Linked DNA regions of Oryzias latipes. The protein of the gene in region 3 interacts with the protein of the main gene of each other region in a pairwise test. Links are inferred from orthologs where the notes say so. Each region holds a gene or a part of one and is shown on either strand. Other genes may lie near its edges. The genes, in order: chic2, thrombospondin type-1 domain-containing protein 4, homeobox protein Hox-A1a, nell2, chrd, fbln1 and nov.

Region 1 (4,734 bases), on a different chromosome or scaffold from region 3:
GAGCAGCAGTATGGTTTCATGCCCCGTAAGAGCACCACTGATGCCATTTTTGCTTTGAGAATGTTGATGGAAAAGTACAGAGATGGTCAGAAGGAGCTGCATTGTGTGTTCGTAGATTTAGAGAAGGCGTATGACAGGGTGCCGAGGGAGGAGCTGTGGTACTGTATGAGGTCGTCTGGAGTGGCAGAGAAGTATGTCAGAGTAGTTCAGGACATGTATGAGAGAAGTATGACGGTGGTGAGATGTGCTGTAGGTCAGACAGAGGAGTTCAAGGTGGAGGTGGGACTACACCAAGGATCAGCTTTGAGTCCTTTTTTGTTTGCTATGCTGATGGACAGGCTGACAGACGAGGTAAGACAGGAATCTCCCTGGACGATGATGTTTGCGGATGACATTGTAATTTGCAGTGAGAGTAGAGAGCAGGTGGAGGAACAGCTACAGAGGTGGAGGTTTGCTCTGGAAAGAAGAGGCATGAAGGTCAGTCGTAGTAAGACAGAATACATGTGTCTGAACGAGAGGGATCAAGGTAGAAGCGTTAGGTTACAGGGGGCTGAGGTGAAAAAGGTGCAGGAGTTTAAGTACTTGGGGTCAACAGTTCAGTGTGATGGGGAGTGTGGAAAAGAGGTGAAGAGGCGAGTGCAGGCAGGTTGGAGCGGGTGGAGGAAAGTGTCAGGAGTGTTGTGTGACAGAAGAGTGTCAGCAAGACTCAAAGGAAAGGTGTACAAGACAGTGGTGAGACAAGCTCTGCTCTATGGGTTAGAGACGGTAGCAGTGAGACAGAGACAAGAGGCTGAGATGGAGGTAGCAGAGATGAAGATGTTGAGGTTCTCCTTAGGAGTGACCAGGTTAGACAGGATAAGGAACGAGTACATCAGAGGGACGGCTCATGTTGCCTGTGTTAGCGACAAAGTCAGAGAAGCCAGACTGAGATGGTTTGGACATGTTCAGAGGAGGGATAGTGGATATATTGGTAGAAGGATGTTGGAGATGGAGCTGCCTGGCAGGAGGGCAAGAGGACGGCCAAAGAGGAGATATATGGATGTCTTAACAGAGGACATGAAGTTGGCTAATGTTAGGGTAGAAGATGTCCATGATAGAGTGAGGTGGAAAAGGATGATTCGCTGTGGCGACCCCTGATGGGAAAAGCCGAAAGAGAAAGAAGAAAGACACAAAACGTATTATGTGAGTAACAAATCACGCACAAATCCAAATTTATGCACAAATCCTAATTTACAAACGCACAAAGCAAGAATATGCATACACAAATTCTAATTTACGCACAAATAAAGAATTACGCACACACAAATCTGAATTTACGCACAAATAAAGAATTACGCACGCACAAATCCGCCTGAGTCTAATTTCTCTCTATATTGGACGCAGAGTTAAAAATATTTCCTGAAAAGGCTGAGCCTGTTTTTTTTATGAACAATTACTGAAATCAATTTTTTATGCATATATTCTTGACGTTTTCGTGCTTAAACCAGTGCACAATTGAACTCCATTTTAAGTAAAATAAAAATGTGAAAAAAAGTTTATTTATTTATTTATTTATTTATTTATTTATTATTTTATCTATAGATTCTGGAGAAATACCTTTCTCCACAACATATACACTTGATGGTAATGTTAAAACGGTGAAAAGGCTAAAAAGATGATTTAGGTAAACGAAAATTCTCTCCATGGATTAAAAAAAGTGTAATTGTTTAATGGTACGACTTTTTACTAAATTTTAATCTGATTTTTTTTTTTCATATTAAAGATTAAAAAAAGAAAAGAAGAAAAAAAATCCAATCTAAAACAGATAAATCGACGTAAAGATTCGCCCGTCCCTCTTCCGGTGTCGTACGGTTACTGCGGCGGATGTTGATGTTTCGTTTCGGAGCTCGCGTAACGATGTGAACCACTCTCTGTTTTATGACTTTGCTTTCTGATCGCTCGTGTTTTTCCCCGGTTAGCTTTCACTGCTCGTCCCAGCCGTGTCTCTCCCGGTGTCTTTACCGGGAAGTGCGAGGCTGAGCCGTGCGATGATGGAGGACTTTGATGAGATATACGAAGAAGAGGAGGAAGAAGAGGACGAGGACAGGGCCGCAGAGGAACAGCTTCTCAAGTACGCTCCGGACCCGGTGGTGGTACGAGGATCTGGCCACGTCACTGTGTAAGAACCGGCCTAACTGTTGGTGGTCGTGAGGACATTTTTTTTCTTTATTGTTGTCGTGTGGCGATTTGTAGCCGCGGCTTTTATCTAGAAAAGTAAGTGCTAACTGTGTTAGCCGCTAGCTAATACAGCTAAATTGTTAAGCTAACATAATTAAGCGACTATTAGCCAAAATATGTCGATTTAGCTTCGAAAAAGTCCATTTGATAGTTTGTAAAACATTTTGAATTTATCACACAAAATAAGAATAGTTTATTTCAGGCACTGTCAAGTCAGTTGCTGAAAATTGTGAAACTTTAGAAAATACTTGTCATATGTTTGTGTTTACTTACTAGCTAGCAAAATGTACAACAATAACATTGAACATTTGATTAAAGAGAGAAGTCTTTTGCAATATGCAGTTTTTAATAAGGCCATGGCTAACAGAAAATCTAACATTTGTGTTTATATTCAGAACATAGTCCTAAACTGTTGAGTCAAAATACAACATTTCCTGTTGGATTGAAATATTTTTAGTCCTGTTACCAATTTAAACAACAAAAGGTTGCTAACTAGTAAGACATGCTCTGAAAAGTAAGACATTGGAAAAGCTTGCTGAATGGAAAGAACTAAAATATTAGCATTTAGGTTATATGTAAGTGATAATGGCAGACGAAGTGTGGATTATGTATGGGTCATTAGATTTATTGAAAAATGGCTTCCTATAGAGGACAGCTAAAATCATTTTTTAAAAGGAAATTTTAGGAACATTGTCAGATTAGGAAATCAAAGACATTGTTTATTTTTCTTCAGAAAACATCCGTTTTCCCATGAATATCTATATATTTTTAGACTTCTTGATTATATGCTTAACAACAAACATACTGCTGCATTGGCACACAAATGGAAAACAAAGTGTCTTGTGTAAATGACACTTCAGAAATAAGAAAACCACACAGTTTTGATGGTTTTAAAATGTGATCTAAATATATGTCATTAATAGATATAGTTATAATGGTTAGTCCCACTCAAATTATTTTTTATATATTCTAAAAGCGTTCCCAGTGGTCTTTTAGTAATGATTATGCCATTTTTAGACAACAACAAAAACCTTTGTTTTCTAGGACATTTTAGAAATTTGTCTCCGATCTGTGGGTGTGATTGTTGGCATGACCCAATTTCCCATCATCCCTTTGTCTACACTCTTGCATTCTAGCTTACAGTCCCTCACAATACCAACCTAACATTTCTGGTCCAACAAAATTGGCAAGCAATATTGAAGCTATCCAGCTGTATAGTTTAGAACCAGATACCAGCTCAGAAGAAGAAAACAAAGACTTGCATGGATCTAGTCGTCTGCAAGTGGATGCATCATGGAGTTAAGCAGGGAGCTTGTTAACGGCTAACTGTAGCTATAGGTCAAAGCTACAGGCTTTTTCAAATGGCATTTTTTCGTCTGCTCCTGATTCACAACAAATTGAATAAAGAAATACTCAGAAATGCAAATCTAATCTTAATTTTTTTTATATATGTCCTCCATCATGAATAAAGTGCCGCAAAAACATGTTAAAAAACACTAAAAACAGAACTTTCAGCAGAGAGGGGCTTTAATAAATAATAATGGTTATGATGAACGGTTATAAAGAATTAAGTGCAGAACCGGTACGACCGACCGACCCCAAATCTATGAATGTACATAATTATTATTATTGTTAAACTATTTCCACACCTTCTGAGCATTTCTTCTGGAGTGTGTAAATAATTGTACCAGAATGTGACAACCACCGTTTACAGGCATTAGTAGCAGTGTGAGAGCTGTTGTGTTAGTAGTAGTGTGTGTTTGTTGTATGGGTGTCTTAAGTAGTGCGTGTGGGATTTTCAATTTTATGTGAGAGTCTTTGTAGTAGGCGCTGCGTTTAAAACTGTAAACAACGGCTTAAATGGCTCTTTTTAATCCCTTACTGAAGTTAATATTTTAGAAAAGAGTTCACCGTTTCTCGGTTTGAAAGTTACACTTATCGGGTTTCGTTTGCCATTATTTTCTCACATTTATACTTTTGAGTCACAAAGGGGGGTAGTAAGCAATGGAAATTGAGTCCTGGGCATTTCTAGCCTTGGTCGCAGTGTGATTGATACATTTTGATTGTACTTTCTGTCTCACAGGTTTGGACTAAGTAACAAATTTGAGTCCGAATTTCCCTCAGCGCTAACAGGAAAGGTGAGTCATCAATTTTGCGTCATATTTTTGCTCTAATTTCCTTTTAAACTTTGTTTAAATGGGACGGGAAGATGCTAACGTGGATGAGCTTGAATGTGAATTTTGACTCCCCATAGGTGGCACCAGAGGAATTCAAAGCCAGTATATATCGAGTAAACAGCTGTTTAAGGAAGACCCTCCCGGTGAACGTGCGGTGGCTGCTGTGTGGCTGCCTGTGCTGCTGCTGCACGCTGGGCTTCAGTTTGTGGCCCGTAATTTGCCTCAGCAAAAGGGTGAGGAAACCCACAGCCACACTCCTAATCTGTTTAGACCAGGAGTCTTTAACCCATTTGGTCCAGTTTCCTACTGACCAAAACACAGCAAGTCCCACTTCACCATT
Region 2 (4,026 bases), on a different chromosome or scaffold from region 3:
AAAAAGTACATACGTAAAAGTATGTCAGACTTTTTAGCTTATTTTTTTCCAAACCTTTCTTACTCATTAATACCAAACAGGCATCTGTATATTTAAAAAAAACTGTGTTCAACTCTGTGTTTCAGCTATAATAAATTGAAATTGTTAATACAAACACTTTTTATAAACTATTTTTGCAGTAAAATAAATGTAGTCACTGCATCTGTGGGAGCAGCAATAATTCAGGAAATGAATGTTTAATATTTTAGGCAGAATGCATTGTTCTTTATGGCTGAATGTGGTTCGCTTACAATGGTGGGCAGGAGTGTGTGTTGCACGGCTCCTCCTCGGGAACAGGCTTGGCTGCAGAGTCACACTTCCTCTCTGGAACCTCTTCATCTGTTTGCCGATTCACACAGATAATGACTCTATGCTGAAAACCTATAAGACACGCACAGAATGGACAAAGCTGTTTTTCTCGTGTTTTTGCACTTACACCCCACAACCAGCGGAGGGAGACATCACATCATGCTAAAAGGCAGACTGAAGTTTATAGTAAGGTGAATATGCAGATATCTTCAGGACTTTTTAGAGGCTGACCTTTGCCACAGGAGGCAGAGCACTGCGTAAGGCCACCTCTCCTCCACACAAACGGCAGCTGAGTGTCTGGGGGCAGGTCAGTGCGAGGAGGGATCCGCGCATTCCTGTTGGGCGCTGATCCTCGTTGCCGCGTCCTCTCAGGTGTCCAGCGGTCTGAAGATGGTTGAGAAAATACAGACGAGGAGGAGGATGAGGAGGAGGGGGAAGAGTGGGAGGGAAAGGAAGGGCCCGAAATAGGAGGAGAAGCAGGAGGTGGGTCCTCTATTGATACAGTCAGGGGACCTGGGAAAACAATAAAAAGACAAACATGGATGGACAAATTAGACAGGACAGGAAGGGCGGGAGGTTGGGAAAGGAACACAAGGAGGAGGGAGGAATGAAAGGTGAAAGAAGGTGTAAATGCAAAAACTGTGAGGACAAGAGGAAGGCAGTGAGTCACAGGCTAATGATGTCATGGTGAGGTCAGGGTCTCATGACAAGCAAATATGTTGAGCAGATAGTCTCCCATCTGGGTCATGGCAAACAAACACACACAAAAACGCTAATAAAAGACTCCCTTCTATGTGGTTCACAACCACACCCATCGTAATCCAAAAAGACGTCAGTTACGCCTCTCTGTCGTGTTTCCTTCAGTAATTAGGAAAGATCATCTCACCTTCAACCCATCCTTTCTTAAACCTGATGGATTTAGGATGGGGCTTGTGTGAATTAGTGATATGCTAAGCACATGCAAACTATAGAATACTGCGCCACTCCTGCACGCAGCCAACTGAGGCTTAAAGGATTTTCTGTCAGTGGGTAGGGAGATCGTACGATCGTAAAGGGGTCTTACTGCGAAGGGGTGCCCTCGCCGTGTCTCGCTCCCGTGGCCTCTCTCTGGGTATCTCCACTGGGGGTTCCCTTTCCCTCTCCGTCAGCTTTTCCTTTTCTGCCTTTTTCTCCACAGGCATGTAAAACTCATAGTCGATGCCCGGGTTGTCTTTGTGGAAAATAACCTGGAGAGAAAACAGACAATACTCATCTTGCAATAAAGAAACCCTTGGGGAAAAACCGCAAGTGTCAGACGTAAGATAGGCTGCAGACTTTGGACCCCTGCCCCTAAGAGGAATTCAGGCGATGATGCAAAGTCTGTCAAGTTAATCTTGTCATGTTGGTGTAAACATAATCAGTAAAAGTTTTGTGCCAACATTTGTTCATTTTAAAGTTAGTAGCTAAATTCTTTGGACAAAAGTTGAAAGAAAGCAGTGTAAGATCCCTGCTCTTGAACTGGATCTGTTATTATTAGGACATAGGCATCCTAATGTGGTTTACAGTGAGCTTAAGCAGATCAGTCTTTATCCATGCATGTTGGTAAAACAAGGCTGCCTGTCTGGGAACCTTTTTACAAAGAGAAAAGATGCAGCAGACGACTTTTGCTACAGTTGTTTGGAAAATTGATTAGATTCAGTAGCATGAAGCTGTGTGGTCACATACAAACCAACTCAGCTGCATCCATGTTTTTATTTGTATTGAAAACAGCAAACCCTTTGTACAAAATTCTAATTTCTTTAAAATCTCAAATGATTAGAATTGTTTCCCATTTACAGCAAAACATTTGTCTTTTTAAAATATAATGTTGTTCTTATCTAAAGATGTTGCTTCATATTTCTAGTGATTTACCATAAAGTATTTTTAGTTTACATCTTTTCATTGCTTTAAGGATGCTAGAGCATCCAGAGCAGCCACATAACATGATGCTTCCACCACCCTGCTTAACAGTTGAAATTTTGATCTGAGGCTAGAAAGAGTTTGTTCAGCACAGCAGATCAGCTTTCACTGATGCACGGATTTGGTTTGGCAGAGACTTTTACACCGGATGCCCTTCCTGACACAATCCTGTATTTTATCCGGGCTAGGACAGGGAGACCCAGACCTGGGCTTCCTTGTGGCTAAATGGTTAGCCAAAAGTGTGAAGGGTCTTGCCTGAGACCTGGGAAACAAACCCTGGCTGTCGATGTGCCAGGCTTAAAAGATTTTCTGTCATTGATAGCATCATACCATTGTAGCTCTTGTTCAATGACAAAAATAAGATTTCCCAATAATGTTGTGTTGGGATTAATTGATTGATTGGTTTATTTCAATCTATTTTGAGGAGGACTGTGTGTTTGAAGGCTTGAAGAAAGACATCCACAGGTTTTTCAGCACTTAACTCAAAAAGGACAATTTCTCCATATGTATTTTTTTTTAACTATGTCATGTTGATCATAATAAAAAAATCTTAAACCTTAATTTTCTCTGAAAATGTTTAAAAAGCTCTAAAAGTCAGAAGCTTTCAGAATTCAAGTTTCAAAGACTATTAAGAGATTTGGAGAGACTAATTCTTGGTTATGATGACTGAAAATTAATTTTGCTGTTTAGTGACAGAATGAGTTGGATGTCATTCACACACTCCAGGCTAAAATGTTCTAATCACTTTGTTGAACAAACGTAGGGCGACTTTTATGTCAAGAGTGAAGGAGAAGAGCAGTGCATTAGACCAAATAGCCAGTGTTCCGCTGTGATGCACTGTGATGAATGGGACCGGCTTTGATCATTTCAGTGTGGCCTGGTGCGGATTTAAACTACCCGGAGGAAAATGAGAAACTTTTTTTTCCGCATCAACAGAGATTTCAATGGATGAGCAGTCATATCGGCCCCTAAAACAAAAGGTTTTTGAAGAAAAAAAAAATCAAAGAACAGGGAGTGAGATAACCACAGAGGATTTTATCTATGCTCCTTTATTGAGTGATGTGTTCACATGACTGAGTTCATGCGAGACATCTCGGAGCAAACATCTTTGGAGCAAACTTAGGACATTACTGATCACGTTAGGAACTCACTTTGATTAAAATAGTGTTTTAAACATTTGTTGTGGATTTTTCTGATGATAAAGGAAGAAAATAAAGCGCAAAATTCCATTTCTGAGCATTTCTTTTTTCAAGTTGTTGTTGATAATGTGCAGCTAAACACATTATATTTGAAAAAGAGCTCCAAGCTCTGAGCAACGGGGAGAAGAATCGGGGGCACTAACAGTCCCGCCTGCAACTCAGAGGTGAATTTCTAATGAACTCCTGCCATTCTGCAGAAACTATGTCCTAGAAAACGACACAGGTTTTTTGATTTTGACTAAAAACGGCATAATCATAATAAAAAAGACCACTGGGAATGCTTTTACAATAGATCAAAAGATAATCGAAGTGGGTCTGTCAGGAAAATGTTTTATTATTTTGATTGCAATTTACCAGATTAACAATTTTGAAACTGGGATCGTATTTTAGTTAAACTAACAATTTTACCAAGATGGTTAGCACATTAAGATTTACAAAAGGTCAGGGATATAGAAAAGTATAACATAACAGGAAATAAAAATAGACAAAAATGGTAATTTGACTTTCTGTATCAAAAATCTGGCTTTAGCCTTTCTTTTCT
Region 3 (4,624 bases):
AAGAAAAATTTTTAAATTTTAAGACTTTTCACTTATTTTCTAAGGGATCTGTTTTTGCAGCAAGTTTATTTCCCTACAAACCAAACTCACTTTATGTATCTCTTGGAAACTTGAAAAAAGAAAATGTTGTTTCTATTAACTCTGAATTATTTCAGAGACAAAAATCACCATGTTGTAATTCAACTTCATTTAACAGACCAGCAACATGTGGCACCGTGATACTGGTCTGGTTATGGTCTGGTCAGGGTAGCAGTTTGGAGAAAATAAGTCTCCAAACCGTTGTTACAGTTTTCAACAAAGTTAATCTTAAAACAAAACTTTAAAAGTCTAAAAAGTGGGAAAACTGCAAGTAGTTTTATGCAGAAAGGGATTTTTTAAGTTTTGCCCTCACACATTGGGAAAACGTATAAGGTTGCATAAACTAAAAACTTCAATTAAACTCAGAATCATCTTAGAAGTCTGTATCTATAGAAAACTACTGACCATGAAATGTTAATAAACATCAAGTCTGCTTGACCTCCTATAGCCTGTAGGGGCGCTCGTTCTTCCAAGTGACTCCCCTCTTTTGCCTCCCTCCCTTTTCTTCTCCTTCCTTTTCGAGAGGTTGGGGATCTGCCACCACTGCCCTAAGTAGCCCCCCCCCCCCCCCCCCCCCCAGACCTCTTCTCTTCACACTCATAGATTTCCCCATTACTTTTTGGTGCCATTAATATCTCCACGAGCTTTACGCGAAGCAGTGTAATCAGGAGCGCCAGGACAGACCTCATCCTGTTATTTTATTTGATCACCATTTATGCATAATGAAAACACGCAGAGGATTGCAGGCAAATGGACGACCCCGCGACCACGGGAGAAAGAAACACACTAATAACAACTCAATCTGAAGCCCTGTGTTGTCTTTGCCGTTTCATCATTCTTGACATTTATTTATTTGTACGCATTCTGCTTTTTTGCGCGTCATTTTACTGCGTCACCACAAGGGGCGAGCCGGGATGTGTCGGGGTAAAAAGTTCAGGCCGGGGTTGTCGTTTTTCACTGCCACATGCTGTGAAGTGACACGCTCAAAACAGATGTGCAGCGCCACGTCACTTTCTTGTGCATGCTAAAACAGATGCACAGAAAATGCAAAGCCCAAGAAGGCTTCTGTCAGTGGAAGAAAGTCGGAACCCCTCTTGCCTCTCCCTCACTGTCGCACTGTGACAATATTTGCAGAGAAAATCCCTTAATGTTCAAGCGTGAAACATTTCGCATTAGAATGGGACATTAATAGCCCACAGATAGCCTATGGCAGTGGCACACGCACTCTGAGCCATCCATCCATCTACAGGGAGGGTGACACGGTTATAGGCTATATGATATCGCGCCTATAAAGCGTGGAGGGCACGAACGTGCACGCGCTCCAACACACACGCATGCAGACAATGATCTCTCTGTGTTCCAAAAATACCGTACCTGGGGTCAAAGTGTTGGGCCGTCGTCATGTCAGGCTGCGGAGGGTGACTCGCTAATCTCTCCCTGTGGGAGAGCGGGCAGCGGGGGTTACGGTACAGCATGTCTGCAGCGTCCCGCTCCTCCTGCGACCCCGGAGCTGTCCACCGCCGTCTGACTCCCAGCTCATTGTTTGCTTGGCCCATACATTAGTGGCGGCGCGCGTCACCTTGATCGACGAGCGCTTGGAATTTAAATAGCCCCTCAAACACCAATCTGTCACCGGCTAAGTGGACGAGGACAAGTACCTTACTGGCTGACCCTGGCCCACGTGACAGCACCCGTTCATTGATATCACCCCACGCGCCCTCCTTCCCTTACTGATAAGAACTGAGTTAAGGTACAAGTTGGCAGGATCACTTAGGGTGAGAGTGGGGAGCGGCAAGACAGCAGAGGGGTGTCTGCAAAGAAGACAGTCCCTCGGTCAGGGCACAACAATGCTACAATGAGCAGCTTTTTAGACTATTCGGTGATGAGCGGAGAAAGTGGGTCGTGTTCGGTCAGAACCTTCCACTCGGACCACGGGATTACAAGTTTTCAGTCCTGCGGGGCTGCTGTCAACAACTGCGGGGCGGATGAGCACTTCATGTCAAACAGGACGTCTCCCGACAGCATCTCTCTTCATTCGGGGTCATACCAGTCTACTGCGGGCTCGCTTGGTCTCTCTTGCGGGGCCCATCCGGCCTGCAACTCCAACTATGGACCCCAAAGTTTCTGCGCCTCTTACAACCATTATACTCTCAACCAGGAAGTAGACTCAGCTGCATTTCCTCAGTGTGGCCCACTCATGTATGCAGGTAACATATCCTCATCCGTGGTCCCTCAGCATCGTCATGGTTACAGTGCCGCCCCCCTGGGTCAATTGCAGTATACCCACGTTGCCTATGGCGGCGGGCATGAGCAGACAGCCGCGTATCCTGTTGCCTCGAACCCCCTGTCCCCTCTGCACGCCGGACACCTGGAAGCTTGTTGTTCCCCTCTGTCCGAGGGAGCAGTGGCCGCGCAAACTTTCGACTGGATGAAAGTTAAGAGGAATCCACCAAAAACAGGTGTGTGCTATCTTGTTTTTGTGTGTGCATGGACGTATACGTAGTGTCTAAAACAAGCGGGTTAAATGATCCGAGCTTTGAGCTGAAGGGCGCCTACAACATGCTTCTTCACTGGACGCACTAATGTGTAAACGAGATTAATGAAAGATTAATAGCTAAAATGTTTGCTTCTGGAAAAAGTTTACATCTTTACATTCTCAGAAAATAATGTGCTCTAAAGTATATAATAAAACTTGTATATTTGTTATATTAAATATAAGAGGATAACTACTGATCGATGCGTAAAAGTTATCAGACGCTGCGTAAAAGTGAAGTTATGACGACATTGTTCCAGAGTTTACGTTCTGTTTGATGACAGAAAACCAACCAGTCTGTTTTTAAAGTGAAGAATTTATTGCCCACAGGGAGGTCTGGTGAATATGGATATTCTGGTCAGCCGAACACTGTTCGAACCAACTTCACCACCAAGCAGCTGACAGAGCTGGAGAAGGAGTTCCACTTCAACAAGTACCTGACTCGGGCTCGCCGTGTTGAAATCGCAGCTGCGCTGCAGCTGAATGAGACTCAGGTGAAAATTTGGTTCCAGAACCGGAGAATGAAGCAAAAGAAGCGCGAAAAAGAAGGACTCATGCCAGCTAAAGTTTCTACCTCAGACCAGGGAGAAAAAACAAACGATGCTGCGTCTGAGAAGTCAATCTCGGCTCCCTCCACCCCCTCCCCCTCCTCATCCACGGTGTCTTCCACAGGAGCGGATGCCTACAATTCAAACTGAGGACCAACTGCCCTCCTTTCCTCTCTGGGCCACAGCGTTCTGTATTTACCTAAGTTTACTTGTATTGAAGTTTTTGTTGTGTAGACATCCATAAATTGGAAAACACTAGGGATCCTGGACAATTGTGATTTCTGGAGTCAAGAACTGTTATATATTGTATTATGTATCTGTAAAAACAAAGGCGCTGCTGTCCAAACAAGCCCCATTGCGTTAAATTTGGCTCGAAATTTGCCAAACTTTGTTAGATGGTGTCACTTCTACCTGCCAATTGCTGCTATAATCAAAAATCTGCTGACAAATGAATACCTCAAAGGTGCCCAAGCTGTGCATTCCGATCACACGTGTGAACGCACTGTGCCATCACCAAGGCAACACACAATCAACGAGAATACCTCGTTTTTGAATGTTTAGTGAGTGAACTGTTATGGTTCCCCTGTTATTTATCTGTTTCAGGTGTCTGTGTGTCGACTGTTTGAATGTATTGTGAGATTTGCAAGCTGCCTTCACGTGTCATGACTGCAGTGGCGCTGAGTTTTATCAGTTGCGGAACAGGCCGTTCAAAGCTTTAGTGTTTCAGGCTTTGTATATATTCAATCCCGCGATGCACATGCAAACTGTTTTGTCCAGAGAGACGTTTACGGGTCAATCGTGTGCATTAAAGTCCGTCTCGCTCTGAATGTTTTCTTTCTTGTCACGTCTTTGGGGGAACATGTATTGGGATGTTGGGTTAGAATTTATGCACAATACCCACAAGATGTCTGCAGAAAAACGCACAAACTTTACGTGTCGGTTTTACGCATCAAGCCTGACAATGAATGCGGCTGTGCGCGCGGCCATCCCAAGGGTCAAAGGTATTGGCATAATAAAGGCATGTTTATCCGCGGGGAAGATGAGAGTGCGAGTGTCAGCAGCGACATTTGTGATGACAACCTTATCGAGCTCTCGGCTTATATTGAGGGGACAAAAAGAAACTCTATTGATTGAAACATCCAGGTTATGCCACTGACAAGGGTGGGAGCCCCACCACTCTCGTCTTCAACAACTCCACAAGTTCAACAAAAGTGCCACGATTTCCCCTAAACGACAAGATGAACTATGATAACTTTCAGCACGGGATGTCACAAACGGAGTGTTCACAGAACAACGTCCAAAGAAACAATTTACCTCAGATATTGGGCGGCAAAATAGTGGAAAAAATAGCAACAACAAAAACGTAGCACTGTGGGAACATGGTTGGAGTTTCCGGATGACTTTTTTTTTAAACTCCTGGTGTGCAGAGTGCGATTCCACCCCACCATAAAAGGGCAAAGAAACG
Region 4 (4,026 bases), on a different chromosome or scaffold from region 3:
AAGTGCTAATTTTAGTACACAAATTAATTAATTAAATATTTTGTGGGCGCATATTAGTATTTTGCTTCCACAAAATAATAATATGCGCCCACAAAATACCAATTAGCAATGTCTGTGAACAAACTAGTATTTTTTTGGCAGAAATTTCAATTTTGTGTACACAAATGAGCGATTTCTGTAAGAAAATTAGCATTTTGAGCTTATAGGTAAGTAGTTGGAATTGAGAATAATAAGATATCCATTGTGTCCTTACAAAAAAGTAGTTTGTTCAAAAAAATTACTTATTTCTGCTTACAGAATGTTTGTTTGTTCTCACGAAATGCATCCTTGTGAGCACAAAATGCTAATTTAATTGCAGAAAATGCTAATTTGTGAGCACAAATGCGAATTTCTGTTAACAAAATACTAGTTTGTTGAGAGAAATTGCTAATTTGGGTGGGCAAATGCTAATTTTTGCCCACAAAGTGCTAGTTTATGTGCACAAAATGGTCATTTTTGCCAATAGTATACTAGTTAGTTCACAAAAAAAGGCTATATTGATCCGATAAAGTGCTTCTCTGTCCACAAAATGCTAACGAAATGCCAACTTTTGGCCAGAAATCACTATTTATTTGGTTACTAATTGTTGCCAAAGATGGGAATTTGAGGGAACTAGTTTTTTTTTTTTGTATGTGTATTCTTCCTACTAAAAATGTCTCCTTTGCAGCCTGTTCTTTTTCTGGGATCTTCTGTGTGATTCAGCCTGTCAGAAAGCATGTCAAAGCTGTCAAAACGGAAACCCTCAATCTAAGGCAACATTGAAGCAATGCTTGTAACAATAGCTGAAGCTCTTTTACGCTCACTGACCTCATCTTTGCTTTTAGTTTCAGCCTAAATGTGAAAAAAAAAACACATTTCAAAGATAAAAAATCTGCCTGACAGCTATAAGATTATAATTTGACCAAAAGTGGGTTTCCGGGCTACCTTGTCGTTCCAGTAGTGTTTGTGAAGTGGTGTGTCCTTATATTTTATGACTGCTACCGATATTTTTATCTCATGAATTTGTAATCACACTGGAAAAAAAAGGAAATGCAAAACCCACTTGTGTGATTGTTGTGCTCCTTGCAGATATAAATGAATGCAAGACAGGGAGAAACACCTGTGCCAATGACACAGTGTGCTTCAACTTGGAAGGAGGATATGACTGTCGGTGCCCCCACGGGCATAACTGCACTGGCGACTGTATCCATGACAACAAGGTCAAGCACAGTGGGCAGATTTGGGTGCTGGACAATGATAGGTGCTCAGTGTGCTCGTGCCAGGTAAGTAGAGTGAGGTGGGGAATAAAATAAAAATGTAAAAGAATAGAAAAAATAGACAAAAAACAATTCTAAAGTGATGCTTTACTGTTTTTTTTCTGTTAGAACTCTTTTCATCCAGCTTCTTTTTTTTTCAAGCTTTGTTTTTTCTCCATCTTCCAAGTGTGCAAACAAAGAGCAGGAAAACAAGTTTAAACTTGCTCTGTTTGACTGAAGCTGTCCCCCACGGGGCCAATCAGCAACAAATGTCAGCTTCCTCTGTTGTACAAGCACACTCCTCTTCTCCAGACAGTGTGTGACATTTAAAAAAATAATGAAGCAAACCAGCAGAATGAATGATACTTTACTTTCTGTTTAATTAATTAAGATATGAGCAAAACCGTGGCACCTTCAGGCTAATTGCCAAATGGACCGATGGCAGCATACGTTTTCAGTTACTCTAAGTCATTTGGAAAAAGTGATCCTCCTTGACCTTTAAGGGGGAAAAAGTTTAAAATCTTGGATTTGTACTAAATCATATTTTATTCACCGCTTCACTGGAAAGCTGAAATTGTTAATTGTAGTTTGCACTCAGTCATGGTTAATAATTAAGTAGGTAGTGTGTGTGTGTGTTCATAAAGCTGCACAAATCAATATTTTATAATACCAGTGGGGAAAATAAGTTTAGCAAAATGTGCTCAGTGGCAAATCCACAATACTGAACTACTAAGTTTGCCTCCCAACTGGTGTGTAGTGACAGAGGACACACCAGCAACCTAAAAAAATATAAACGTGACAGTCTGTGTTGATGTACAGTCTCTTCACGATCTCTCATGCATTTTTTTTAATAATTGAGGCACAAAAAATATGAAGTTGCAGCTGTTTTTCCTAAAATTTGCAATGGTTTTTGATAATACATTTCAACAGAATTAGTTGAAAACTTGCCCAGGTTGTTGTTTTTCCCTCCAGTTTATTAAAATGCAGTTTCGTGTAAACTTCACAAAAAACAAATAAAAAGAGATTATTTCTAAGCTGGTATTTATTTTTGAATATTTCTTTATGTTGGTGCAAGAGCAATTTTTGAACAAATATATAATCACAGCATGTTTGATCAATTGTATACAAAAACAAACCCCATTATATTCATATCTATTGGTTTAATTGTAACTACATAAAAAGTGAAAACGCTGAAGTTTATTAGTTTTTCTTCTGTCTAAATCAAAAGTGTAACTTTAACAATTTTTTTTGTGTGATTAAATTGTTTCATTTCAGTTTAAATGTGTCTGTTGGCCACTTCACCTTATTGCTGTTTCTTTGATTTTGTTGTTTCTTATCTTTAAACTTAACTTGCAAGTTTTTCAATAGTGACTAAAGTCTGAAATTGATTTTTTCAATATTAGAAAGCAGTTGTTTCTTTTAAAAAGATTATTTTACTCACCTTTTCACAATCTGACACCGGATCCCGCAGGTAGCTACTAGGGGTTCACCGATGATCAGTACAGAAATCCATTGTCTGTTCACAACAAAGGCGATTTGCGTTTCAAATATGCGTCTGCTTTTGTTTTAACCCTCAAAGTGGCTGCTGGACGTTTGTCCAAAAGTGTCTTTATAAATCGGACGCTCCTGCACCGTGTGGGAGGAGCCACTGTCAAAAGTTTTTCTCGCCCTCCTCATGAAAGAAATAGAAGATGTTGAAAGATCCGGTGTATTTGTATTAATGAGCTCCACAAAGTCGGCAAACTACTCATTGTAAAGCCTTAGCCCATTTTGATGAACATAGAGCTGATATTCTGGTCAGGATAAATGTTTTTAGATAAGTGACCTAAAACTTCCTGCGGCACACCTCTCCATCTCTCATGGCACACTGGTGTGCCGCGGCACGTTGGTTGAAAAACACTTGTTTAGCATATGGTGTTCACACTCGACTGATGCTACCAGATACTGGCACATGTCCGCCCCCTACAGCTAGAAGAGGTTTGGTGCAAAATTTGGAAATCTCGTGAATCTTGATCCGGCTTTTTTTTTTTTTACGGTTCTACTCTGATATATGAAAAGCCTTAGTGTCATAGAATTCCTTACGGGTACAAACCGCAATTGTTTAATTCTTCCTTATGATCATTTGAAAGGGAATATCAAAAGTGAAAGCGATGCCATTCATACACCATGGTCAAAGTTCGACCTGATTTAAGTCTTGAGGTGCGTTCAATGGACGCTCGTATTTGTACATAGGGCCCGAAACGTAAAAACCTGTGTGTGAATGCAAGAGTTTTGTGAAGTGCGCATGTACGTGCAATTACATAGACTTTTCATTGAAAGTGGTCCCTTGAACATGCGTTCCCGAGGGCAGTGTGAACGAAGCTTCACAATGCAGCTTTACATTTTCATGTATCATTCATGTCTTTGGTCCTCAAACCTCCAAGAATATAAAGGCCCAGACGCAACAAACGTTTTTGTTTAGTCACAAAGTTGAATTTTAGCTGCCTGTTCGATGGAAGTTGGTTAGCGCGATCACTCAGGAGACAAGAGTTTTTAAGTCAACATAGCTCAAAATGTTGTTTATTTAGCTGCAGAAGCTGAATTGTATCATTTTACATGAATGGGATCAGTTAGACTGGAAATTCGTCATGAGAGAAATAGTTCTAAAGTGTGGTAAGAATCTGCATGTTTTCCAAAAAAAAAGGGACCTACAAGCTCTCAATACCTTCAAACCTATGATCTTGTTTATGGTGTGGAGATTTTAAATTGGAAC
Region 5 (4,026 bases), on a different chromosome or scaffold from region 3:
CACCCTCATCCGTCTGTCCCAATAACTCAGTCGTCCTCGAAGTCCGCTCCGATCCGTCTGCTTCAAATCAAAGTTCATGAGTTACATCTGTGAACGCAGCTCAATTCCCGCCTGGAGGTACAATTTGGCCATCTCAGTGTCCTTACGTAATATAAATGTTTGTCTTGAACGCTCTTGTCTTGCCGTCATCTTTGTTTAGTGCTGATTCTCTTTGCTTTGAACAAACTCAAAACAGAAAACTCTCATCTGTCTTTAATTTTAAGAGGTTGTTTTGTCGGTCAGTGTTGCACCAATACAAGCTCAGACTTTCTGAAGACAAGTTTTCATCCTTGGCATTAGGAAGGCTTTTTTTTATGGAGAACGTTTTTCTAATGTCAAATTCTTCTGCAGGATCCAGACTTTGCAGAAGTACTGACCAACTTAACCAGCCGGGAACTGTTATTGTTATATCGAGGTCAGCTGGAGATAACCATAGAAACTCAGGGTCAAGACCCCCGGCGGATCTCCGGATTCATCACCAGCAGAAAGTCCTGTGACAGTAAGTGTTTCTGGAGATCTTCTTCATAAAATTTAAAAGCCTGAAACTTCTGAGGCTCCTGAGGATGTGGTTTGTGTCCGTGTTGGCTTATGTTTCTGTGTGTGTGTGTGTGTGGGGGGGGGGGTTGTCCTTCTGATCTGTAAATACTCTGACTTTCTGTCTCTATTCTGTCTTGTCATGTTTATGGACTCCATTTATGACTCAAACACGGACAGCAGAGGAATGCTGTGGTCATTCGGGTCTGAAAACATGAAGACACACGATCTTCTAACAGGAGATCAGCCTGTCTCTTAGATATTCTTGCTGTCAGTTTAAACCTGCACAGCAATGCAGGTGTGCAAAACATTTGCAAAGTCTCACACACGGGTCTGGTCAGGGTCACAGCGTGCTGGTCGCGACTCTTCGCCGCTCTTCCAGAGCGGTGATTAACAGCTCGACGTCATGTGTAAAGAATCTGAGCCCAGCACACAACTCAATCCCATCATGTGTTCCTCTCATCGTGTAGTTTTGGCATTGTTCCTTTTCACGTTTTCAAAGTTCTTTTCTTTATCCTGCATTTTTCCTTCTCCCCCCACTGTTACCCCCCCCCCCCCCCCCCCCAATCCCCTCATCTCAATCCTCCTTGAGGTTTCCCCGTTCATAAAGGGTTAGCTCATCTTTAAGCTTTCTCTTGGAGAGTTTTATATTGTTGTGCCCAAAAGTCTGCAGGTATAAACCTGAGGAGATGATGTCTTGAAGACGGTCTTTGCCTCATGCTGGAGCTGCCCCATCATCATAACAGAGAGGGGCACGCTTCTGACCTTAACCTGCTTTTGTCTCAGCTATTCAGAGTGTGATGTCCAGCGGAGACACATTGACACCAGGGAAGACGGGAGGTGTGGGATCTGCCATCTTTAACCTCCACAGTAACGGAACGCTGGACTATAAGGTCAGCAGGTCTACTAGATCTGTCAGAGCAGATAACTGACTGAATTTGGAACCTGGAACGAGTGAATGTGACATCACATCTGAAAATGGCTTACCTTATTTTCGCCACTGTAAGACACGCTTAAAAGCCTTTTAAGCCTTTTTTTTTTTTTCAAAAAACGACAGTGCACCTTATGTTCCATAGCACCTTATACATGGATTCATTCTAGATGTACACAAGATAGGACAGGGGTTAAACAATTTTTGAGAGGTACACAGTGCGCTGTCAAAATATTTGTTGTGTCAGATTTTTTTCCTTTTGTGTTACCAACAGAGTAAGGAGTTAGTGTATTCACAAATGTTTGTTTTAGTGGCATCAGTCTTTTTTTATGTGTTGCAAACAAGATTGGGAGTTGCAGGTGTTGTAAATCCACAAACACTTATACATAATTTCAAATATAAACCATTTATATATGGTGCACCTCATAATCCGATGCTCCCAATAGTGTGGAAAATGCCACACTTTTGGCTCCAGCCAAAATAAGTCAATTCAATTGCCATTTGTCCGCGATTCCGACGCCGAAATGTTGGAGCCAGACGTTATCAGTAAGCAGTGATTGATCCGAGTCGAATGCATGATAACACATACAGAACAATAAGAAGAGGATTTTTTTTTATTTCCAAAGAAAAAATGACTGTTATGATAAACATGAGGCTTTTTTTGGACACTTGTTTCACAGAATTTATGTTTGCTGGTGATTTTTGTATTTAATTAGGTTTAATTTGTTTTTTACAGCGTGCTGTGTTGATCTGTTAATGTTTATTGAACAGTTTCACTCAAGATCAGAGAGGAAATTCCTCTGAAATGAACTGTAAAGCTACAAAATTATCAAAAAGGACCAGACTACCATAAATAGGCTGCTTTTCCCAAAGTTTTTCCATTTTATTGAACTATAATTTTTAAACTCCTAAATATCTTTATTTTATCCTTTCAAATTTCTATTTTTAGACCTAAGTTTGATCACAATGAAATGATGAAACCCATCCATGGATTTACTCAGCCTTAACTTCAGCTTAACTTCTTAAGACCTGACATCCACATGCATGGACATCACATTTTGGGTTAAATAGCTGCAGTAGTTAATTCTTCTTAACTGGAGCCCTGTGACTATGTGTGTAAAGGGTTAGCTCAAGTATTAGCTTGGGTTTTAGGGGGTTAAACAGTCTTCAGTATGTCATTCTGTTCCTCAGGTCCAGGTGGCGGGTCTTAGCAGCGAGGTCTTGGGCCTCACCATTGAGCTGAAGCCCCGGCGCAGAAACAAGCGCTCCATCCTTTACGATTTGACCCCAGAGTACAGTAAATCCTCTGGTCAGGCAGAGGGCAGTTGGAGTCCCATGGAGGCTCGATACATCCACATGCTGCTGCAGAACGAGCTCTTCATCAATGTGGCCACGGCACATTACCAGGAGGGGGAGCTCCGTGGGCAGATCAAGGCACTGCCATACAGCGGTCTGGATGTGCCCAGATACGGTTTGTAGTGCCGTCACTCTGCTTCATGTCAGATTTCTTCTGCATGAGTTTAAACACCTTTGAATATGTTTTTTTGTCTCCTTCAGAGCTCCCCACCCCTCTGGCTGGATACTTTGTGTCCCCTCCTGTGAGAACCGGAGCCTCTGGCCACGCCTGGGTGTCGGTAGACAAACAGTGCCATTTGCACTATGAAATAATAGTTGCAGGTCTCAGTAAGACCGATGACAGCACAGTGAACGCCCACCTCCATGGACTGGCTGAGATTAGAGATTTGGAGGACAGCGGCTCTTCACACAAGAGGCTGCTGACAGGTTTCTTTGGCTCCCAGGTAGGTTCCCTGTTTGATGACCACGATAAGTTCAGACTCAACACAGAAACACAAAAGATTCTACATTGACTCCTCAGGCTCAAGGAGTTTTAAAGGACATCAGCGCTGAACTGCTGCAACATCTGGACCAAGGAACAGCCTTCATCCAAGTCATCACTAAGATGAACCCTCAAGGAGAAATACGAGGAAGAGTATGTAAAGCAAAGCCAAATGCAAAACCTTCACGACAACTTTACACTGATTCTGATAAAAAAAAACACACAAAAGGAAACATGAACCCTGCTGTCAATTCAACATGTACCACAAAACCTTTGTGACAGCTTTTGTCTCTAAACTTTTCTTTTTGTTCCATTCTTGAGGTTCATGTCCCGAACAGCTGCAAGTTTGGTGTTGGAGGAGATGGGGAGGAGGCCGAGTTCGGGGACTTCTTTGTGAAGGACCCTGAGGAGATAAAGAAAGACCCCCACACCTGCTTTTTTGAGAACCAGTACCATGCTCACGGTTCCAACTGGACCCCCAACTATGACCCGTGTTTTTCCTGCAGCTGCCAGGTAAAGACAAGGCGCCGATCACGATGCAATAACACATGCTTGTCTCGCGGAGAGCTAAATGTCTCCAAACTCACAGGAAGTGAAAATGATGTCTCCTCTTTGAAAACCACTTTGACCACTCATGATTTGTCGTTTTGTTGTGTCTTCCTGTAGAAGCGGACAGTGATCTGTG
Region 6 (4,477 bases), on a different chromosome or scaffold from region 3:
GTCACATTGTCATAACAATATTAATCACTAAAAGTTTTCCTCATATGGTGCAGCCGTAGACGTCAGCCATAGAAATTGGTTACTTCCGGCTCCAACCAAATGGAGACAATTCATTCACGTTTTTTTTGTTGTTGTTTTTTTTCAATGCGGAGGCTGCCATGTTGGAGCCCGACGACGTCAGTCAGTAATGATTGGTCCGAGTCGCTCTGAGTCAACGTTCCTTTGACAATCACCATCTCGCCAAAGCAGGAGTGGGCTTGTTGAAAAGCCCACACCCCCCAACGCTTTAAAGCAGGCAACACGGAATCTGTCACTCAAACATTTCAAATGTGAGATGGCGCATTCATTCTGGTTGTGTTCAATAATGTTGAAGTGATTTTAAGAAGTGCACGGCACTCGGTCAAAATGTCTGTCTGTTGTTATGTTTTTTTGAGTCGCAAACAAGGTCGGGTGTTATTGGAAATATGTCAACGCGGCTAACATGTAGCCGGACTGTGTTGTTTTTTTTACGTGTTGCTAACAAGGTTAGCAGCAATGCTTGTTTTAGCGGTATCAGTCTGTATTTTTACAAGTTGCAAACAGGGTTGGGAGTTACAGGTATTCTAAATATGCTAATGTGGCTAACGTGTAATAAGTTCTAGAGTTACTGTGAATGCAGTTAATACAGTCTGATCAACTGACAGACTTATCTATGACTCTTTTGTCTCGATAATCCGCCTTATATATATAGATGACGTGTTCAAAAATAGACCTTTCATTGACGGTGCTCTTTATAATCCTATGTGCTCTATGGTGCAGAAAATAAGGTATTTTTTATTGAGGCATCTGATTGGTCAGTTTATAACTTGAATAATATACAGAAAACAAAATTAAGATTAGCAAGATTGTGTTAAAAAAGGTATCAGAGCAAGAATTATTATTCTGAGTAATATAACAACTGACTAATAGCTGTTTATTTCTCTATGGAAGTCTACAGGACTTTGGCTTCTTGGAACTGGTGGGTACTTCCTGTTTGGACCGTGAGGGGATAGGAGTCTCTCAGTCCAGTTCTCGTTTACAGTCAGTCGTCCAGGTGAGCTCATAGCTAACCTGTGATATCAGGGTTTGCCAATCGAATCCACTGAAGAATGCCCTCTCGCAAGCCCCCTGCCCCCGGGCCGTCTTGATGCCACCTTTGCAGGCCATTTCCCCCGCCGATGCTCGACAGCACTGTTCGTGAATGATGCTGGAAAGTCAAGTTAAACTATAAAGTCACACTCCGATCATCTTTTGATCCATTTTAAAAGCGTTCCCATGGCGTTTCTTATTTGTAGATTGTTTTTAGCCAAAAAACAAAAACAAAAAAACTGTGCTGTTTTCTAAGACAGTTTCTGCAGAGGAGCAGTAGTTCATTAGTGATTCACCTGTTGGCACCAAATGAGCCTGCTTTCATTTCCCATCATCCCTTTGTTTACATGCTCCCCAGCTAGTTTAAAGCCCCTGACATCCTCAACTTAACATTAGCTGGGCAACAAAAACTGGTGATCAATGTCAGAGTTGTCCAGCTGTACAGTTTTGAGCCAGATTCCAGCTCAGACGAGGAAAACAAAGACGTACATGGATCTAGTTGTCTACAAGTGGATGCATCAGAATGGAGGGGAGCAGGGAGTTTCCACACACCTACAAGATTTTTCAATTGAAAAGTTTCATCTGCTCCTGACTCACAACGATTTGAATTAAGACATATTCAGAAAGGCAATTTTAAGTTCAATGTTTTTACATATGTCCTCCATCTCGAGAAAAAACACAAGAAGAAACAACACAATTTTCATGGAAGTGGGTCTTTAAAATACGCCCTGCTGGTATTTGCCGCTGACCCTCCAAAACGTCTGTGGCCTTAGGGGGGAATTTTTTCACCTGCCTCTAATTTTGCACAATTTTGACTTTAATTGAATGTTTGAGAAAACTTGAGAAAGCCCATGTGATGACCCCCCCCCCCAAACCAGGTGTTGCTTACCTGCACATAGCAGAGGTGAGGACCTTCTGAGCTGCACAGTCATGTTCCCTAATGGCAGTCGCCCTCCCAAGATTACAGCACCCCTCCACAGACAGCAGCTTGTTTTCTGCATTTTAGTAAGCAGGTCCAAACAATGAGATATTTAAAGATCGTGGTGTGAAAGTTCATCTCTAAAACAGGGGGAAACTCACCTTCCCAGCCCAGAATTCCTCCAACAGAAAGGAGGAGAATGATCCTCAGCGCCATGGGGGCTCGCTCTGCTCAGACGGCAGGAGAATCAGCGGAGTCCTGCGGGACGGAGCACATCCCAGTTCGGCCTCGTGAGGGTTTGAGTGGGTGGAGAGGGCGGGGAGATGCAGGCTCTCTGTCAGGGACGCAGAATGATTAAGACGCGGCTGATAATGGGATTTGTTTTAATGCGCGACGGCGGGCGCTTCTTACTGAAACAAAGTACAGTTTGCCTCTCATAAATTCCAGAAAAACCTGGATTAGTTTTAATAACTGATCACCAAATAGGAAAGTTTAATAAAAGCGCTCAAGATAAAGGTTTTTCGCCCTTTTTTACACATTTTGGTTTTGGCATTATCTGCAAAAAGTCAATACCTATAACACTACTATTTATCATTAATAACCCATGCAATCTTTCGTGGAGACAGAATCACAGTGTTTCCAATGTTGACATTTGTCCTACATAAATGAACAAATTGTCACTATTTTACAGTAGCTTAAATTATTCAAATAATACTGAACATTTTTTGTTTTTGAATCCCTAATTAGTAATAGCATACCCAATACAGCGCTACATTTCTGATACTAATCAATCATGCGCGCGTGACTCTTTACCGGGACGCATCAAGTTTGAGGTTTATCAGTTTAGTTATTTAAAACGTTACTCTTCAGACTATATTCACTGAAATAAAAATGTCTCCGAATAATTAGTAAAATCCTTAAAAAACAAACAGATTTTGAAGTTCTTCTTGTTGTTAAGCCAGTCCGTGAGCAAGAAGAGACAAAATGGGTTATAAACAAATGGTCCAGTCCAACTCAGAATACTCGTTGGAATGTCAAAATCCATCCATCTTCTTCCGCTCGCATTTCAAAATAAGGCAGAAAATTAGATTTGAAGATAGTTTTAAATCCTGAAGTGAAGGAGGGATTAAAAAAACACAGTGTGAAATTAACGTTTAAACAAACAGACATTAAAGCTTTATAAAGATCTAAAAAGACGTTTACGTTTTGTTAAGTGTTTCCCCTCTGCAATGATGAAATACATCTTGATTTATCTTTAGGAAGACCATTTGAACCAACACAAATGTAAAAGAAATGGAAGTGAAAAGAGATAAAAAGATTGACTATGGCGTTTTACTGTATGTGTAAAAAAATACATATAAACCCAGACAGTAAACAGCATATTTTTCTTTCATCAATGGAGATTTGTGCTTTCTAAATGTACTATTTTATTCATTTTAAATGATTTTCTATTGTAACTGGGTAGCTATAATGGGTTAATGGCTCAATTCGTACAGGCAAAACTAGAGGAAATGACAATTTTATGCTGGTTTACACTTTAGGTAAAGTGTAAAGTTAAAGAAAATGATTTTACACTTTAGGTACAAAAAAAAACTATTACCAATGGAAAACAGGACAATCCTTGCAATGTATGAACTAAGACAAACTGTTGAGAGAGAAAAAATTCACATATAAAAACATGACAAACATGTTTATTATAAACATTGTAAATTCTGGGGATCTTTTTTCATCATTTCAAGAGTTCATTTACAGGCGAATTTTCACTAAAAATATTTTCTGTACCATTGATTCTTTTCTTTTTAACCATCCCCAGCTTTTAAACGCCTTTACACATGACCTGGCGGGCGGGCGGGCAAGGACAAAAGCTGGGAAACAGATGAAAAAGTGGATTATCTTTTTCTGCATTGTCTGCCGATGATAAGACGTTATTAAAATCTGAACAAGTGCTGTTTGTAGCGGCTTGTGTGTGGGTGTATTTACGGCACTTCACATTAAAACAGTCTGCAGTGCTTCCTGGGCAGAGAAACCAATCAAAATAAAGCACGATAAAGAAACAAACCCATAAAAATGACTAGAATGTTTTTTAAAAAAATTCATAAACACAAAAAAATGCTAATAACATAGGTAATAATATTGCATGCAATACTGAATCAAAAACAGTTTTGTTCTGATTTTAACTGCAGAATTAGCACATATTATGTACAACAGTAAGCTAAAACTTAAATACGTATCCATCTGTGCGTTTTTCAGTCACATAAAGATAAATGATGGGTTTCTTCTCCATGTTGCAGCTGCGGTTCAGTGTCGCTGTAAATACAGACACTAATGTGATGCAAAAACGGTCATTGCAGGAAATGTAGGGGACTGCGGAAGACTGAAATCATCCATGTTTTTTTCCGCCTCTGCTTAAGAGTGACCAGTTTAGTCTTTCTCCTCCACGGTTTCAACTGT
Region 7 (4,662 bases), on a different chromosome or scaffold from region 3:
ACCGTGGGCCGGGTGGGTGGCTGCCTGGAGTGCGGAGCGGGTCTCCCTTGGGGGGTCCTGGCTCGTACCTGGGGTTGGGGCGGGGGGATGCCCGGAACTCCTGGGTGGTGGTGGGGTGCTCGTCGGGGGCTGTGGGCGTCCTTCTCCGGTGGGGCCCTGCGTTGGGCTCTCCCGGCGCGGCGGGGGGGCTGCTTTCCTGGTTGGGCTGGGGCAGCTCTCTCTTTCCCTCCGTGCCTCCCTGCTCTCTGGCTCTGGGGGCCTCGCGGCGGTCCTGCTGGCCCTGGCCTGGGTGGCGGTCTTGGTCGCCCGGGGGGCGGTTGTTCCCTACCTGTTCCCGTGTGGCGTTGGGGGGATTCCGGCTGCCGCTGCTGCTGCGGCGGGGGTCTGGGTGTGGGGGTGGCTGGGCGCTCCTCCTCTTTCTTTTCTCATTCCACCATCCATTTTAGAAGAACATAAACACTCACCTGAACACAGGTGTTAGCTCACCTTTGCACTAATAGTTTGTATGATTGAATGAATGAAAGATTTTACACTAGTTGGTTTAAAGGCATAGGTATGTGTTTGTGAACACTATCTGTTTTGTGTGCATGTTGACATGTGGACATTTTTGCAGCTAGCAGGTGTGTTGATAACATTTCAGTGTGTGTGGACAGGCCCCGCCCTTTTTGTACTACATTTGAACCGTACCGTAATGATAAACAACCAGTAAACCTGTCTGCTCTATGCTGCTTCATGGTCTTACCCCCCCCTCTCACTATCACCCCCCCCCCTCTCTAACATCCCTCTCTCTTCTTCCCTTCTTTCCTTTTCGTCCGGTCCAACACAAAAGATTTTCAAACATGGTTGAAATTAATAAAGTTTGGCCTCAATTACAAAAGGGGTTTATTCAGACATACCTTTGGTTTGTCTGAAGATTAATAACCCCTCTTGTTAAAGTAAAATATGTCCAACACAAGAGGCCCTCAGCTCTCATCTGCCTGCCTAGCTGCTGGACAGGACAAGTTTAAAAAAAAAAAATGTCTGCAGAGACACTTATCTACGTTTAATGTTGACAATGTCATTATCTTAACCAGCCTGGTTTGTTTTCCTAGTTGTGTTCTGTATTTGTAAAAAAGTATAATGTCTCTTTTATGTCTGTGCATGCACAATCCTGTAATATGTGTTAAACTAGTTAACTAGTTAATAAGGGCTGTAATTGGATATTTTTTTCTAAATAAATGATTGAATAGGTCCTTGGGGAAAACCCTTCACCCTACTGTCTAACTATGTAGCCACAGGGGGGCCTAAGTCTGGGTCACCCTGTGCCTGTCCCCAACCAGGATAAAATACAGGGTTGTGTCAGGAAGGGCTTCTGGCGTAAAAAATCTCTTTTACATCACCTGTGTAAATCAGTGAAAGCTGATTTGCTGTGGCTACCCCTAAAGGGATTTGCTGAAAGGCGAACAACACTTCATTAACTCATTAGCCCTTTTTAAACAATAAACATAAGTTATGATCAACATAAAAGCACCCATTAAAGACATTAATGTGCATAAAAACTTTACATCTGTATTTATAGTTTCGGTTATGTTGTCGCTGTCAGTTTAACCATAAGTCTCTTTAGCCTAATCCCAGACTGAAATTGAACTTTGAACCTTTTACATCGCTTTAGTTTCCCTTACAATGTGACCAAACACTTTTGCTCAGATGAGCTTTTACCAGATGTGTCCACAGCAGTGTGCCACCAACGCAACACTCACAGTGTTTTGGATCACATATGGCCCAAAGTTTCCACTGTGCAGCTATTTCAAGAAAACTAAACAAGTCTGCAGGGAATAAAATGGGTTTTCCATTGTGACCTCCCAGGTAGAATTTGGAAAGGCAGGTCAAAGAGGGTAAATGAGGGAATTCAGCAGGATGCATGTAATGAAAACAGCAGCAGAAGGAATCTTCAAACAGAGAGTCCAGGCTTGAGAGGAACATAGTGATGTTTGAGGGGAAAAAAATATGAAATAGTACAGAGATTCTGCTCAACGCGGCGGATGCTTGTCATGGTCATGGTAGGCTCTTTGAAAAGATTTTGCAATGAAATGTGACTCTGTCCATCATCAATCTTTTCCAAAATTCCTTCTGTTTGGTTGTCAAGGTGCCAGGGGTAAAGCTCGCCCATATATAAGGTCTCCACCTCACAGGCTGAGCCTTAGAATGACAAAGAGAGAACATCCTTCTGCTGAGAGAAGCCTAGACCCACGAGCTTCAGTTTAGTAAACTGCAGACAGCATAACATTTTTCTGATGCTGCAGATTTTTGATTGTGTGTTGCACAGGAAGAAGATGCACCATTGGTTGCACAGAAATGTCCTTTTCAACTTTGTGATAGCACAGGTAAGCCTTAGTGTTCTTGTAAAACTGTTTTACACATTTATTTACTGCTATTACCTGTTTTCTGTTCTATAATTTCACAAATCCCTTTTTTTTAATGTTATGTTTTTTTTTACTTATTATTGTAGCACATAATCCCACTTAGACTTGAAGTCAATGTAAGATTTACAGATATATCAAAGAAGCCTCTTGTTTTTTCTTCCAGGTTTTCACTCTGGCCTGCTCCCAGGTGTGTCCACGGAGATGCCAGTGTCCTGAAGAACCCCCCATGTGCCCTCCAGGCGTGCCTTTGATCTTGGACGACTGTGCCTGCTGCCTGGTGTGCGCCGCTCAAAAAGGACAGGTCTGCTCTGAGATGAAACCCTGCGACACGCGGAAAGGGTTACAATGTGACTACTCTGTTAACACCCACAAAAGGACTGGTGTCTGTGCTGGTGAGTTTTCAGCACCTGGAGCCTCATCTTCTTAACATTTGTAACTCCTTTCTCCTGGTAACACCTTTTCGTGTGCTGGGTTTCTTCCCTACAGTTAACGCGGGTAATGCCTGTGTGTTGGATGGTTCTGTGTATCAAAACGGACAGACCTTCTTCCCCAGCTGTAAATACCAGTGCATGTGCCATGACGGGCAGATTGCTTGTGTGCCACGATGCAACCTGGACATCATGCTGCCTGGTCCAGACTGCCCCATGCCACGCAGGGTCCATGTTCCTGGAGAGTGTTGTGAGAAGTGGGTGTGTGGCTTGCGGGCAGAGGCCAGTGCACTGGGCAGCCTGGCCATGGCAGGTGAGTGACCAGATTGTCCATGTTGTCCTTCATTATTCACAAACATGGAGGACTTTAACAATCTGCACTGTAAAATCTGAATCTTAAGAAATTAGAGACTTGTTTCGAGAAGAATTTCCTTAGATTTTGTCTTGCAAGAAAAATAATCTCATCAAGAAAAAGTTTTTAAATAGCAAAGTAACCTTAGTTTAAGAAAACATGTCTTAGTAACTAGATTTTTTTCTTAAAATAAGAATTCTTGATTGGACCATTTTTCCCACTTCATTGCCAGATTTATTTATTTATTTTCTTTTTTAAAGAGTGCAAATTTTTTATTCATTTCTAGGAGGCCTTTTGTTTCAGTGTGCATAGGAGCTGCATAACTGCCTAAAGTAGTATGAAAGTTTTAAGAGCTTCTTTTTCCATCAGTACGTTTGTGTTTGTGTATATTCAGCGTTTCGTCAAGAAGAAACCGTGAGCTTAAACAGTTGGGACCCCAGCCTGAACTGCATTGTGCAGACCACAGAGTGGGGGGCATGCTCTGAGACGTGTGGCATGGGGGTGTCCACCAGGGTTACGAACAAGAACGATAACTGTGAGATGGTGAAGCAGAGCCGGCTTTGTATGATCAGACCATGTGAGGGCCTGCAGGAACAGCTGACACAACTTCCACCATCGGTACTCTTCTCAGAGGAGAAATCTCTTACCTTTTGTGATTTTTTAATATTTTATGACTACATTGCCCATTATACTGCATAATAATTACACAACTGTGTCTTTTTAACCAGCAAAGGGGTGCGAGGTGCCAGAGGACGGTGAGGAGGGACAAAGCCATTCATCTGACTTATAAGAACTGCACCAGCGTGCAGGCCTACAAGCCTCGCTTCTGTGGTTTCTGCACAGACAGCCGCTGCTGTACCCCCCACAGAACCAAAACCGCACTGGTGGAGTTCCAGTGTGCTGAGGGAAAGACCACCAGGAGACCAGTCATGGTGATCCTGACATGTGTCTGCCACAGCCACTGTCCCAGAGACAACGCTGCATGGCAGTCATCAGAGACTGGTCACACTGGAGTCAAACTGTGGGCATAGTGTATTATATATATGACAAAAACAGCAAACGATGACACAATCAAAACTGATTCAAGACTATTTGTGCTCATAAAAATATTTGATTTTATAAAATCTGTATCTTTATTGGAACTTGAACGACTTGATCTCTCCTGGAGAGAGATTCAATGGTTAGATCATGTGATCAAGTTATTTTCTTATTTTACTAGTGTTGAGTCCAATGCAAGCACTTAAACGTGGTTCCGTATGCAGCTGCAACTGGTCTGCAAGTTCTTTACAATATTTTAAGACAACTTCTGTTTAAGAAGTTAAAATTAAAAAAAAAAAAAAACCAGAAAATCAACAGATTCAAGTTAGATAAAAGTGTAATTTATTAATAACTAAAACAAATAACCAAACAGGTTGGTATAGAAAGAAGTTATGACTAATTCAAAATGGTGGCAATTCAACCAGCACCTATAAAGGGCCGA

Evidence for each region.
Region 1: the proteins of homeobox protein Hox-A1a (region 3) and chic2 interact in binary tests that used the Homo sapiens proteins (3 or more experiments, as listed by UniProt). The two-hybrid records come from large-scale screens. The link is inferred for Oryzias latipes from reciprocal best matches to the Homo sapiens genes HOXA1 and CHIC2.
Region 2: the proteins of homeobox protein Hox-A1a (region 3) and thrombospondin type-1 domain-containing protein 4 interact in binary tests that used the Homo sapiens proteins (3 or more experiments, as listed by UniProt). The two-hybrid records come from large-scale screens. The link is inferred for Oryzias latipes from reciprocal best matches to the Homo sapiens genes HOXA1 and ADAMTSL4.
Region 4: the proteins of homeobox protein Hox-A1a (region 3) and nell2 interact in binary tests that used the Homo sapiens proteins (3 or more experiments, as listed by UniProt). The link is inferred for Oryzias latipes from reciprocal best matches to the Homo sapiens genes HOXA1 and NELL2.
Region 5: the proteins of homeobox protein Hox-A1a (region 3) and chrd interact in binary tests that used the Homo sapiens proteins (3 or more experiments, as listed by UniProt). The link is inferred for Oryzias latipes from reciprocal best matches to the Homo sapiens genes HOXA1 and CHRD.
Region 6: the proteins of homeobox protein Hox-A1a (region 3) and fbln1 interact in binary tests that used the Homo sapiens proteins (3 or more experiments, as listed by UniProt). The link is inferred for Oryzias latipes from reciprocal best matches to the Homo sapiens genes HOXA1 and FBLN1.
Region 7: the proteins of homeobox protein Hox-A1a (region 3) and nov interact in binary tests that used the Homo sapiens proteins (3 or more experiments, as listed by UniProt). The link is inferred for Oryzias latipes from reciprocal best matches to the Homo sapiens genes HOXA1 and CCN3.

Annotation. Positions count from the first base shown.
Region 1 is NC_019859.2:11,115,757-11,120,490, forward strand, and holds the start of chic2 (cysteine-rich hydrophobic domain-containing protein 2), read left to right. Parts: upstream 1-1,835; 5' UTR 1,836-2,027; coding exon 2,028-2,158; intron 2,159-4,300; coding exon 4,301-4,355; intron 4,356-4,471; coding exon 4,472-4,627; intron 4,628-4,734.
Region 2 is NC_019874.2:19,040,076-19,044,101, reverse strand, and holds part of thrombospondin type-1 domain-containing protein 4, read right to left. Parts: intron 1,575-4,026; coding exon 1,412-1,574; intron 862-1,411; coding exon 580-861; intron 421-579; coding exon 291-420; intron 1-290. UniProt on the Homo sapiens protein: Positive regulation of apoptosis. May facilitate FBN1 microfibril biogenesis.
Region 3 is NC_019869.2:11,315,032-11,319,655, reverse strand, and holds homeobox protein Hox-A1a, read left to right. Parts: upstream 1-1,457; 5' UTR 1,458-1,933; coding exon 1,934-2,537; intron 2,538-2,941; coding exon 2,942-3,309; 3' UTR 3,310-3,986; downstream 3,987-4,624. UniProt on the Homo sapiens protein: Sequence-specific transcription factor. Regulates multiple developmental processes including brainstem, inner and outer ear, abducens nerve and cardiovascular development and morphogenesis as well as cognition and behavior.
Region 4 is NC_019864.2:12,486,498-12,490,523, forward strand, and holds part of nell2 (protein kinase C-binding protein NELL2), read left to right. Parts: intron 1-1,107; coding exon 1,108-1,301; intron 1,302-4,026. UniProt on the Homo sapiens protein: Plays multiple roles in neural tissues, regulates neuronal proliferation, survival, differentiation, polarization, as well as axon guidance and synaptic functions.
Region 5 is NC_019871.2:18,963,093-18,967,118, reverse strand, and holds part of chrd (chordin), read left to right. Parts: intron 1-390; coding exon 391-538; intron 539-1,359; coding exon 1,360-1,466; intron 1,467-2,695; coding exon 2,696-2,975; intron 2,976-3,061; coding exon 3,062-3,303; intron 3,304-3,380; coding exon 3,381-3,494; intron 3,495-3,662; coding exon 3,663-3,854; intron 3,855-4,007; coding exon 4,008-4,026. UniProt on the Homo sapiens protein: Dorsalizing factor. Key developmental protein that dorsalizes early vertebrate embryonic tissues by binding to ventralizing TGF-beta family bone morphogenetic proteins (BMPs) and sequestering them in latent complexes.
Region 6 is NC_019881.2:6,844,039-6,848,515, forward strand, and holds the start of fbln1 (fibulin-1), read right to left. Parts: upstream 3,057-4,477; 5' UTR 2,243-3,056; coding exon 2,188-2,242; intron 2,103-2,187; coding exon 1,997-2,102; intron 1,226-1,996; coding exon 1,090-1,225; intron 1-1,089. Other genes in the region: transcription intermediary factor 1-alpha, read right to left, coding at 4,448-4,477. UniProt on the Homo sapiens protein: Incorporated into fibronectin-containing matrix fibers. May play a role in cell adhesion and migration along protein fibers within the extracellular matrix (ECM).
Region 7 is NC_019874.2:10,619,157-10,623,818, reverse strand, and holds the start of nov (protein NOV homolog), read left to right. Parts: upstream 1-1,784; 5' UTR 1,785-2,273; coding exon 2,274-2,363; intron 2,364-2,565; coding exon 2,566-2,794; intron 2,795-2,888; coding exon 2,889-3,143; intron 3,144-3,576; coding exon 3,577-3,800; intron 3,801-3,910; coding exon 3,911-4,213; 3' UTR 4,214-4,662. UniProt on the Homo sapiens protein: Immediate-early protein playing a role in various cellular processes including proliferation, adhesion, migration, differentiation and survival. Acts by binding to integrins or membrane receptors such as NOTCH1.